2 linked regions of the Schizosaccharomyces pombe genome follow. The gene in region 1 interacts genetically with each later gene. Each region holds a gene or a part of one and is shown in the gene's direction. Other genes may lie near its edges.

Region 1 (5,652 bases):
GGTATACCTCGCATCGTTGCCGGCATTGTGAAGACAAAAAGCTCGGATGTTCAAGTGAGTGAGCATTTTAGCAAGAGAGATGTTGTTGGAATTTGAAATTTCTTTGAGGAATAAACTTTGAAAGAATGAGAAAACGTTCTGCGTATCAAGAACCGTGACATCCTTTGGAATAGGTATTCCAAGGACGTTTGCATACTTTATTTCGTTTTCCACTCCGTGTCCTACTAGATGTAGATTTGGTGTTTTCAAAATTTTTTTCAGAATACTTATAAACGCAATTTTTGTCACAATCTTGGAGTCACCAAATTGAAAGTTATCGGCTTCATCTGGAACAAATCGACCGTTGCGTAGATGTAGAAAATTCTTAATCCTGTAGTGGTGGTAGTCCCATTCTCCATTAATTCTCATCGTAATCCCAGCCTCAGTTATGATTTTCTGGTTGAATTCATATGCCTCAAAATCAATTACCAAAAAGTTACAACTTGGGTTGGAAACGGCTTGAAATGCTACAAGAGCTTCACCTTTGGCTCTAATTAATTTCTTTTCAGCTCTTTGAATTGCTGCACGTCGCTTCCGCTCTTTCCTTTCTGCTTTAACTTCTTCTGGCGTCAACTTGTAACGAATCCGTTTTTGCTCATGCCGAGAAACATTTACAGCTTTTTTTGCTTGCAATCTGTTCATCTCAGAGATAGATCTTAAAATAAACGGAAAGGGGAATTCGTATGAAAGCAAGTACTAGTGATAACTTAGAAGAGGTAAACAAGTAGCTTCTAACTTCTCTAGCAATGGCATGTGTAATTTCAAAGTATATACTAGCAAATAATCCCAAATCCTTATGTTGCAAAAAATAATTATCGTTAATTTACTATGATTACTTTTTCAATTTATAAATGGATTTTGTTTTGTTAAATATCAATTATTCTTTGTTTACAATCAGAAAGTGTGTTTAAAATATATATTCCACTGTCAAATATCTTCGTTCAGTCATTTCCATCTATTCAAAAATTACAAATATAAGACATATTTCAAATTACCTGAAAAAGGCTTCAATTTTTAAAGCTACGTGATTTTTTACATCAAAAAATATTATTGAATTTAACAGGTGACTCTATCACGGATTTCACTTTGTTAAACAGCTTTTAGGAGGTTAGCATTTGTTAAAAAAAATTTTATTTTATTTTATTTTTTTTTTATTTCTTATTAATTGACTGAAGAAATACTCCGTCTCTTAATTTGATTATGAAATTTTTTTTTATTTTTGGGTATGGTTTCTTTTTTTTCTTTAATTGCAATTACAAAAGTAATTAAAATTATGTTAGTCTTTATGACTTCTCAATTGCCATCCTTTAATAAATAGATTAGTATCAACTTTTGAACGAATCTAATATTACAATTGCAAGTTTAGATCGATTTACTAAGCTCTTTCAGTACGATACAAAAAAACAAAAAAGGAAGCAAGAAGTATACTAAAAACCATACACTTGCAGATATTTGGTTGAGGAAGATAGAAAGCTATGTTTTTTGGATGTATAGTTTATACGCCCTTTATCAATTTTGAAACTGTAGCTTAGTATAGAATGAAGTAGTGTAGATATTTGAGCGAACGTCAAGACTATCAATTTTATTGATTTCCATGAATGGTTTAGAATTTTGCATTTAGTATAAATTATTTCATTTATTTTGTTGCCCCTAATATATCTCCTAGTTGCGCTCAGTGAATTTAACAATTGCATGCCTTAACTCTACTACCACCTCCATATTTTCACAAAGTATGGATTTAAAACCAAATATTAGAAGAAAGGAAAAGCGAAATTTATTAAAGGGAGAAGCTGCTTTAGAAAAAAAAGGCTCTATTGATAGAAAGACAAAAAATAAAGCATATCCGTCTACTACTCACGATCCTCATCAAAATGATGATTCCAACATTCCTGGATTAGGAAGTGGACTATTGGAAAGGATCAAAGATATTGTTCAAAGGCCAACAGATACCCAATTAAAAGGTCAAGATTCGAACCATAAGAAAGCCAGCTTGACTGAAACGAAGACCGAGAAAGCCAAGGTTAAACCGAAGGCAAAGAAGAAAAACTCGAAGGAAAAAATCTCTAAAAGTTCTAAGCAGGATGAACATAAAACCGACGTGCATAAAGAAAGTGTCTCGAAACTTTCCAAGAATTTGGAGTCCAGAAATAATCGAGATGAAAATTCCGCGAAACGAGAAAAAAACAATTCTCATCAAGTTGAAGCAGATACGAATAACGCCACTGAGATGGTATCATCCAATGCGAAAAAGTCAGTATACCCGTTGTACTACGACTCTGCAACGGTTAAAAAAGGATTAAAAAGTGGTACATTATTTAAAGGAACGCTTCGTATTCTTGAAAATCATCGTAGCGCTTTTGCTTGTATGGAAGATATACCTGATTTTTATGTTGATGGGCCAATTGCTAGAAATCGTGCTTTTCACAACGACGTTGTAATTGTGGAACCTGTGATGAATAATGACAGCCCCACTGAAAAATCGAATTTTTTACAGAATGGTGTCGAGAAAGTCAAAATAAAAGATCATGACGATGAGTTAGGTGGAGCAATGGAGCATTTGGAAAGATTAGAAATTAAAAGTGTTGCAAGCTTCAAAGGTGATAGCAGAACGAGAGCTCGTGTTGTCGCCATTGAGAAGAGAGCGGAAATTTCTAAAATTGTAGGGATTTTAAGAGCACCAGGTTGGTCATTAAAAAATGTAGAATATGTTTCCAAAAAATCCTCGTACGCGATTTTCATTCCAAAAGATAAACGTCTGCCCTTTATCACAATTCACAAAAATGATTTAAGCGATTTAAGTGGTGAAAATTGGATTGAAAATATTTTGAAACACCACGATCAGTTGTTTTCAGTTGAGATTACAAGGTGGAGTATTTACTCTCGTTACCCTATGGGTGTATTAGGTGAAAAGCTGGGAAATATTACTGACGTGGAGGCTTACACTAATGCGCTTTTGCTAGAAAATGGAATTAGTAGCTCTCCCTTCTCTGATGAGGTTTTAAACTGCTTGCCTCCTGATGATTGGATTATCTCACATGAGGAAATAAAAAAACGAAGAGATTTAAGAAATGAGTTAATTATTACCATTGATCCTGAAACAGCTCGTGACTTGGATGATGCTGTTTCCTGTCGCGCTCTTGACAATGGCACTTATGAAGTGGGTGTCCACATCGCTGATGTTACTCATTTTGTAAAACCAGATTCAGCATTGGACAAAGAGGCAGCTTCGCGGGCTACAACAGTATACCTTGTGCAAAAGGCTATTCCGATGCTTCCTCCTCTGTTGTGTGAACGACTTTGTTCATTAAATCCCAACGTTGAGCGTCTTGCATTTAGCGTTTTTTGGAAACTCGACTCCAATGGTAAGGAAATTGGTAAGCGTTGGTTTGGCAAAACAGTTATAAAGACATGTGCCAGACTTGCCTACAGTGAGGCTCAAGGTGTGATCGAAGGAAAGTCCTGGGATGATGCTGTAGGCAAACCGATAGGAGGTACGCATACTCCAAAAGATGTTGAAACGTCTATATTAACACTTTGCGAAATTTCGAGAAAGCTTCGCAAAGATCGATTTGCTAAGGGCGCTGTAGAGATTAACTCGACAGAACTCAAATTCCAATTAGATGAATATGGAATGCCGAATAAATGCGAGGTATATGAGCAAACCGATGCAAATCATCTCATCGAAGAGTTTATGCTTCTCGCCAATAGATCTGTTGCTGAACATATCAGTAAAAATTTCTCCAATAATTCCTTGCTTCGTCGCCATGCAAGTCCTAAAGAGAAACAAATTAATGAGTTTTGTCACTTTCTAAAAAGCATGAACTTCGATTTCGATGCATCGTCTTCAGCTGCATTTAATGCCTCTATGGTACGACTCAGAAGCACTTTTAATGAAGAATTGGTAGAATTATTTGAAAATATGGCAGTTCGCTCGTTAAATCGTGCTGAATACTTTTGTACTGGCGATTTCGGTGAGAAAACAGACTGGCACCATTACGCTCTTTCATTTAATCATTATACCCATTTTACTTCTCCGATTAGAAGATACCCTGACATTATTGTTCATCGTTTATTGGAACGTAGCCTTAAGAACACATCCCCGGGTATTGACAAAAAAAATTGTTCGTTAGTGGCTGCACATTGTAATGAAAAGAAGGAGAAATCCACCACTGTGCAAGAAGATAGCCAGCAACTCTTTTTGTCTGTATATATTGCTGAGTATTGCAAAAAGCATGATAAGAAATCTATGCCAGTTCAAGCATTTGCGACTAGAATATCTGGAAATTCTATTGATGTCTATATCTCTGAATATGGAATATCCAACAGAGTAGACCTCAGTTCAGATGATAGAATTAAAAGTTTTATAGTTGCTCCCGATGACTCCTCTGTTAAAATTACGTTGTTTGATGATTCTCAAAAGACTATAGCTCTTACGGATCGTTTCCAAGTTTATTTATATTCTGATTACAGTCGTACATTTTTCAGTATTCGCTGTAGTCTAGTTTCTTTGAATTAAAGGCCTAGTGTTGTTTATGAATTTTTGACTGAAATATAACTTTGTTAATTTTGGGTCAGATTACCTTTTATTTATGATGCATGCCACCTATTGAATGGTTGTTCACGTTTATCCTACACATTTTAAAACGCTTATTATTATTACTATTATGTTTCATGGATTATGACAATTGAATGACTTTGTTATGCCCAGACGACTTATGTTTGATATATTTTTCTCATTCGTGAGAGAAACACAATTAAAATAAAAAATTTAACATCAATAAGAAATTTCTTTAGTTAACAAATTCACTTTGGCTGCAATTGTTGAATATTTTATTTATACCTATACATACAAGTAACAATAGACATTGTGACCTGAGTAAGGTACTCAGTTTTGTGCAGCAGCTTTTCCACTACTCATACCGAGGAGGATCTTGCCTCGATATGGATTTTTATAATCATGCTGCCAACATACTTTCAGATTTAAGTAAAAAAAAAGGATCAATTAAGCAATTAGCATTTAATTCAAAAAAACATGATCCAAAACGCACTTATGCTTTGGTTTGCGAAACTCTCAAATGTAAACAAGAATAGTAAAACTTTAATATAAACGATTTGACTAACTTTCTTCTTTTATATAGATAAACCTGTTTTGGATGAAATAATTGCGCGATCCGAGTTATTAGTTTTAGAGAAAAAGGTACAAATTAATGAAACGATAGTTGTTTCGTAATTTTTTGAAGCTAACCTGGTTATTGTAGTTAAAAGAAAATTTGGCTAGAGTCCTTGTCCATGATTTACTGATGTCAAAGCGAGGGTTATCCATTTCAAATGGTCCTATCAAGGAATGCATTCTTCGTCACAAGACACGCCTGAACGCCGAGTTTGTCAAACTCAAGGTGAAAAAAGGGGTTAAGAGCCATGAGGAGCTGGCATTGAAAAATCCTGTGTCGCTCCCTCGCTGGCTTCGAATAAATACCATTAAAAGCACAAAAGACGAGGTTTTGCAAGGTTTAGGCTTGGATAAAGTCAGTTCAATTGAGGAACTGGGCCCCGACAAATTTTATATTGATGATTGTGTTGAAAACTTAATAGCCATCGATCCATCATTTCCTA
Region 2 (6,934 bases), 2.5 Mb from region 1:
CTTAATCATGCCTGGGAACTTTTTAAACAGCAAAACGATCTTTAATTACAAATAGTGAGACTTTGGTTCTGCGCTACACTCTCTTGCATGAACCAAGATGTGTGACAGTATTTTTGTCGGTTAGCGTAAAACATTTGCAGCGGTTTACTTATCCATTGCAATCTTAATTTCATTTATTAAAAATTTATTTCTCATGGAGCCTGGAAAAAAGGATTATATAGATTCTCCTTTGAGGATGCAACCAGCCTCACTTTCTGGCGCATCTACACCAACTATTGATTTAGACGGGCTTTCTTGGCCTTGTAAGTAATGAAAGCATATTTTATACTCATTTAAGTATTCTAATACCAATTAGGTCAAGGAACACAACGTAGAATAGATACTGCTGAGGAAGAAAAAGTAAAAAAAATTTCCAATGCTATTTCAACAATTTTGGAATGTTTGGGAGAAGATCCTGAGAGACAAGGCCTTTTGGGAACACCTGAGAGGTATGCCAAGGCAATGCTTTACTTTACCAAAGGATACGAGCAAAATTTGACCGAAGTGATCAATGAGGCAGTATTTCAAGAAGATCACGAAGAAATGGTCATTGTTAGAGATATTGATGTATTCAGTTTGTGCGAGCATCATTTGGTTCCTTTTATTGGAAAAGTAGGTTTCATTTAGAAGTGGATTTTATCCATTGCATTCACGTGATTGGGCTATGCAATTATGTTTAACCCTCTTTCACAAACTCAGCGTATTAAACTAACATTATTGTAGATTCATATTGGTTATATTCCTCGTAAGCGTGTATTGGGACTTTCAAAGCTCGCACGTATAGCCAATATGTTTTCGCGTCGCCTACAGGTGCAGGAGCGTCTTACCAAACAAGTTGCCCAAGCTATTCAAGCTGTCTTAAAACCTCAGGGAGTTGCAGTCGTTATGGAAGCTACTCATATGTGCATGGTTATGCGCGGTGTTGAAAAACCGGGTAGCAGTACTGTTACTAGTAGTCTTACTGGTATATTTCAGAGAAGCCATAAAACTAGGGAGGAGTTTTTTAGATTGATTGGAAAATTTTAATTTTGGTTTTATTTTGTTCGTTAATCGCTAGAGGTGATACCGTCCGTAAATTCCTATTACAACTAAATGGTATTATATTTTTATTTTTTTTTGCATTCCAGTTTTTGAGTTGTTAAAACAATCACTTTTTTAAATATATCAATCCTTGCATATGTTTATTTATGCATACGATTTAGCAACCAAAGATTTTAAAAGCAGTCGAAAGTTCTCTCTCTATTACTCTTTAAAAATATGAATGCCCTTCTTCAGTTGTTTTTCACGAATTTTTTTTTTTTTTTTTTTGATATCTTAGTATTATGAGAAGAAATTCGAACACATGGTCGTTTTTCATATGGCTTATTTTATTTTCTTGAAAATTGACCGGAGCTATTTCACTCCACCTTACTATTATTAGCCTCAACGTGCTAAGGAAGACGTTATCCTAATGGAAAACTACTATTTAAGTTTTCTTTTTGAACGTTGTTTCGAATCACTTTTTTGGTTACATGGTAAATTAGTCCATGTTATTATATACATATATGAAGTTTCAACAATTTTATTAATTATTTACTAAGTTTTGCTGTGTAAGACTTTCAATTTGCAAGAGCTCAATTAATAGTTTATCATCAAATATATTATGAATGAATAATCTTTGTACCGTAATCGATAAGTATTGCAAGCAACTTACAGTGATTGTATTGATATACCCTAGACACATTATTATAAAGGTAAATGTCTCGTTAATTATAAAATTTGCCAATGTTTTTTAATCATCTACTACTGCTGCAGTTTCAATTAGTCGAAACGTATTTCTTGATAAATGTGTTTGATTTGTTTTTCAAACAACTAAACTCCTTCCTTCGCCTCAATGTTTAAGAACTTGCTCTATTTTAGACTCAGCTAGTCTCAAAGACTAACTATTTTGCCATTTGTATTTTTGTTGAAAAAAATGATAATATGATAATATCTTTACTCACAATGATATCGTTAAAAAGGCTTCTGTTAGTATGATATTAAATCAAAGAGGATCTACACATTTTCAATATTTCATGTACTATATAACTAACTCCTTAAACTTCACTAACCTGGGGCCTATCGATACGTGCAAGCACCGCATATGTTGACATTTGTTCTCTACTAACAACAATACTTTCTAAATTTATTCCTATTTAACTGTTAATGAGAAAGTTCGTTCAGTATGGGAATTCCAAAGGTTGTTATCGATATTTTGTATAAGTTTTTAACAATTAGTTTTTTCGATGGATGAGCGAAAGGTATCCGCTGTGCAGTCAGCTGATTGAAAACGATCGCATTCCCGAGTATGTCAATTTAAATCATCGTTTGAAACGTATGGAGCTAATTGAAATAGATTTGATAATCTTTATCTAGATATGAATGGTATTCTTCATAACTGTACGCATAAGAATGATGATCATTCCTCACCACCACTTCCAGAAGAGGAAATGTATATAGCCATTTTTAATTATATTGAGCATTTATTTGAAAAAATTAAACCCAAAAAGCTTCTATATATGGCAGTAGATGGATGTGCCCCACGTGCGAAAATGAATCAACAGCGCAGTCGCCGATTCAGAACTGCTAAAGATGCCCACGATGCGCGTTTAAAAGCAGAACGTAATGGGGAGGATTTTCCCGAGGAGCAATTTGACAGTAACTGTATAACGCCAGGTACAACTTTTATGGAGAGGGTTTCACGACAGTTATACTATTTTATTCACAAAAAAGTTACGAACGATTCCCAGTGGCAGAACATTGAGGTTATTTTCTCTGGCCACGATTGCCCCGGTGAGGGTGAGCATAAAATTATGGAATATATTCGAACCCAAAAGGCTCAACCTAGCTATAATCCTAACACTCGCCATTGCCTTTATGGTTTGGATGCTGATTTAATTATGCTAGGTCTTTTATCTCATGATCCACATTTTTGTCTATTACGTGAGGAGGTTACTTTTGGTCCGGCAAGTAGAAACCGTTCTAAGGAATTGGCTCACCAAAAATTTTATTTATTGCATTTAAGTTTATTAAGAGAATATCTTGAATTTGAATTTCAAGAATGCCGATCTACATTCACTTTTAAGTATGATCTCGAAAAAATCCTTGACGACTTTATTCTTTTAGCTTTTTTTGTCGGAAATGACTTCCTTCCCCATTTGCCTGGGCTTCATATTAATGAGGGTGCGTTAGCTTTGATGTTTAGTATATACAAAAAAGTTATGCCTTCTGCTGGGGGATATATTAATGAAAAGGGAGTAATCAATATGGCTAGATTGGAACTTATACTCCTCGAACTTGAGAATTTTGAGAAAGAGATATTTAAAGCTGAAGTTTCTGAGACAAAAAACAATGGGAACTCTGACAAACCATCTTTTGACTTTCTCAAATATATTACTGAATCAACAAATGATATTAAAGCCATGACAGGGGAGCAGAAAAATTATTTCTTACAGATTAAAAAGTTTTTGTCTTCTCGTGAGCCGTTCATTGATTTTAGTGCAAACATTTCTTCTGTTGATCAGCGCTTTCTACGACGTTTATGTAATGATCTTCATCTGTCATTTTCCAAAATTATAAAGGTAGACGGCACTCATCTATTAAGGATTACATTTAGAGATCTTGAATTTAATGATGAAGACGAAGATGAAATTGAGCAGGACGAAATCGAACGTGTACTTCAAAAGTATGATAACATTCCTTTGCTTAACGAAGAACAAGCTTTAAAAGAAAAAAACGTCGAAAAAGATTTTATCCAATGGAAGGATGATTATTATCGAAGCAAGGTTGGTTTTAGTTATTATGATGAAGAAGCTTTAAAAGCAATGGCTGAACGTTATGTTGAAGGTTTACAATGGGTACTTTTCTATTATTACCGTGGATGTCAGTCTTGGGGTTGGTATTACAACTACCATTTTGCACCAAAGATTTCAGATGTTTTAAAGGGCCTTGATGTAAAGATTGATTTCAAAATGGGTACACCCTTCCGTCCTTTTGAGCAGCTCATGGCCGTTTTGCCTGCAAGAAGTCAGGCATTAGTACCCCCTTGTTTCCGCGATTTAATGGTTAACAGCGAATCTCCAATTATTGATTTTTATCCAGAAAATTTTGCTTTGGATCAAAATGGAAAAACAGCTAGTTGGGAAGCTGTGGTTATAATTCCTTTTATTGACGAAACCCGTCTTATAGACGCACTAGCATCCAAGGATAAATTTTTGACTGAAGAGGAACGAAAAAGAAATTCCTTCAATGCCCCAACGGTCTTCTCTTTAGCGGAGGATTATACATCGTTTTATCCTTCTTCATTACCTTCACTTTTTCCGGATTTGGTTACCCGCTGTATTCAAAAACCTTACTCTCTACCTTCGATGGAAGGTAAAGAATATTTGGTTGGTCTTTGCCCTGGCGTTTTCTTAGGTGCTTTTGGAATGGTGGGTTTTCCTTCCTTTCACACTTTGAAGCATAAAGCAGAATTAGTGTATCATGGTATCAATGTTTTTGGTAATGAAAGCAGGAATCCCTCCGTAATCGTCAATGTTGAAGACGTCAAATCTGCTTTAACGTCGGAACAAATTGCGATGCAATATGTCGGAAAACGAATTTTTGTAGACTGGCCTTATTTACGTGAAGCATATGTGGAGAGTGCTATGGACGAAAGTTACATGTATTTAGCTTCAAACAGTACCATTGAGAAAAGGGATTTGGCAGAAATTGAAAAAAGCCAATGGGGCCGTAAATGTTCCCATAAAATTAGAGAATATAGTAAACGATTTGGCGTTCTTTTTGGTGATATTTCCTTATTGCTTCAAGTACGTCCTATCAAAGGATTGGAGTATACCAGAGAAGGTGCTCTTGTTAAGATTTTTAACGAATCTGTCCTTGAGGATTATCCAGCCCAATTAGTGGTCGAAAAGATTGCTATAGATGATCCAAGATTTACCGAGAGAGAAGCTCCGCCAGTAGAGGTGGAATATCCTCCAGGAACGAAGGCTTTTCATCTCGGAGAGTATAATTATGGGCGACCTGCACAAATTACAGGATGCAAGGACAACAAGCTCATTATTTGGTTATCAACCGCCCCTGGGTTGGATGCCCAATGGGGTCGTGTTCTTGTTAACGATAGCAAGTCAAAAGAGAAATATTATCCTTCTTATATCGTTGCGAAGTTGCTTAACATACATCCGCTACTTTTAAGTAAAATAACATCTAGCTTCTTAATTAGCAATGGTACTAAAAGAGAAAATATTGGATTAAATTTAAAATTTGATGCCAGAAATCAAAAAGTGTTAGGATTTTCCCGGAAAAGCACTAAAGGTTGGGAATTCTCGAACAAAACCGTTGCCCTTGTTAAAGAGTACATAAATACGTTCCCTCAATTATTTAATATTTTAACAACACATGCTACCAAGGATAATTTAACGGTCAAGGATTGCTTCCCTAAAGATGATACCCAACAATTGGCTGCGGTCAAACATTGGATCAAAGAGAAAGGGATTAACTCTCTTACTAGAGTATCTTTAGATGAAGATGCTTTAGACTCGGACATTATAAAGCTAATTGAGGAAAAAGCAAGCACAATTGATTCTACCTATCAGGTTCCGAAGAAAGTTTTTGGCGTCCCTCGGTATGCCTTATTAAAACCTTCACAAACACGTGGAATTTTGCATAGTCAAGAATTTGCTTTAGGCGATCGTGTTGTTTATGTTCAGGACTCTGGTAAAGTTCCAATTGCAGCATACGGAACTGTCGTGGGTATTATGTTGCATCATTTGGATGTCGTCTTTGACTTGCCTTTTATGAGCGGAACTACTCTAGATGGAAGGTGTTCGCCATATCATGGTATGCAAGTTGAAGTTTCAATGGTTTTAAACGTTACAAATCCTCAGTTCGTTGTAAATACCCGTGCCGGAAAGAATAGAAAAACCAATGTTAGTGCAAATAATGTTTCTCAAGGTACTGACTCTCGTTTGGTAACGAAACCCACTTCAACTTTTCCATCACCTCCATCCCCTCCATCTTCTAGTGTTTGGAACAAAAGAGAGCATCATCCAAAGCCTTTTTCACTACATCAAGTCCCTCCCCCTGAATCATTAATCCATAAATCGAAGAGTAAGTTTAGCAAAGGTAACCACCACTCTACCAATGGTACACAATCTATCCGCGGTAGGGGTGGAAAACGTGGTAAACCCTTAAGGTCGAAAGAACTCAATCGCAAGCACGATCACATCGTTCAGCCGATGGGCAAACTTCAGATTAACTAGCCCAATTGTATTTTAGTGGTGTGATAATAAATTTTATTAGCATAGAATTCTTTAACTTTATAGAAGGTTTTAAGACAACATTATGATATGAATGAAATTTATGTGCAAATATTTTAGTAGACTTCTATACTTTAAATCTGTAGTAAGAGAAATTTCGGTTTGAACGGTTAAACTTATAAATATTTAGTATTCGGAGTTTAGTCTCAGATACAATCAACCAAACACGACTTTACAAATCATATGGAAGAAAAATATTATAAAAACAATAGAGGTAACAAAATTTATATTACGACTGGATAATATGCTCGATTCTAATTTTTAACGCCGTAACGATTTACAGTCTTACCGTCTGGAATGTTGAAGAGAACAGCCTGCGTACCATCAAATGGAACATCAACAATGTAATAACCTTTACGCTCAACTTGAATTATATCACCCTTCTTTAAATTCTTGATTCCAACGTCAGCAAAGACGGGAGAGTGGAATTCAGTTTGAGGAGTTAGGAAGTCCTTATAGTTTTCTCCTTCTTCAAGTTTGTCCTTGGTAATAAGATAGTCAAAATCAACAAGGTCGACAGGAGTTTTGTCCTCCGTATCAGCCAACCAAGTGACTTTCTT

What was found.
Region 2: mutations in dis32 (region 1) and exo2 are lethal when combined (synthetic lethality), as found in Schizosaccharomyces pombe (one study listed by BioGRID).

Annotation. Positions count from the first base shown.
Region 1 is NC_003424.3:4,270,200-4,275,851, reverse strand, and holds dis32 (3'-5'-exoribonuclease Dis32), read left to right. Parts: upstream 1-1,722; 5' UTR 1,723-1,771; coding exon 1,772-4,555; 3' UTR 4,556-4,960; downstream 4,961-5,652. Other genes in the region: SPOM_SPAC2C4.08 (uncharacterized protein), read right to left, coding at 1-681; rcm1 (rRNA methyltransferase), read left to right, coding at 4,981-5,116, 5,178-5,236, 5,298-5,652. UniProt on the Schizosaccharomyces pombe protein: 3'-5'-exoribonuclease that specifically recognizes RNAs polyuridylated at their 3' end and mediates their degradation.
Region 2 is NC_003424.3:1,776,307-1,783,240, forward strand, and holds exo2 (exonuclease II Exo2), read left to right. Parts: upstream 1-2,183; 5' UTR 2,184-2,242; coding exon 2,243-2,257; exon of another isoform or gene 2,258-2,295; coding exon 2,296-2,363; exon of another isoform or gene 2,364-2,403; intron 2,404-2,413; coding exon 2,414-6,317; 3' UTR 6,318-6,434; downstream 6,435-6,934. Other genes in the region: UBA/TPR/DNAJ domain protein Ucp7, read left to right, coding at 1-45; fol2 (GTP cyclohydrolase), read left to right, coding at 194-302, 356-651, 763-1,065; gus1 (glutamate-tRNA ligase), read right to left, coding at 6,629-6,934. UniProt on the Schizosaccharomyces pombe protein: Multifunctional protein that exhibits several independent functions at different levels of the cellular processes. 5'-3' exonuclease component of the nonsense-mediated mRNA decay (NMD) which is a highly conserved mRNA degradation pathway, an RNA surveillance system whose role is to identify and rid cells of mRNA with premature termination codons and thus prevents accumulation of potentially harmful truncated proteins.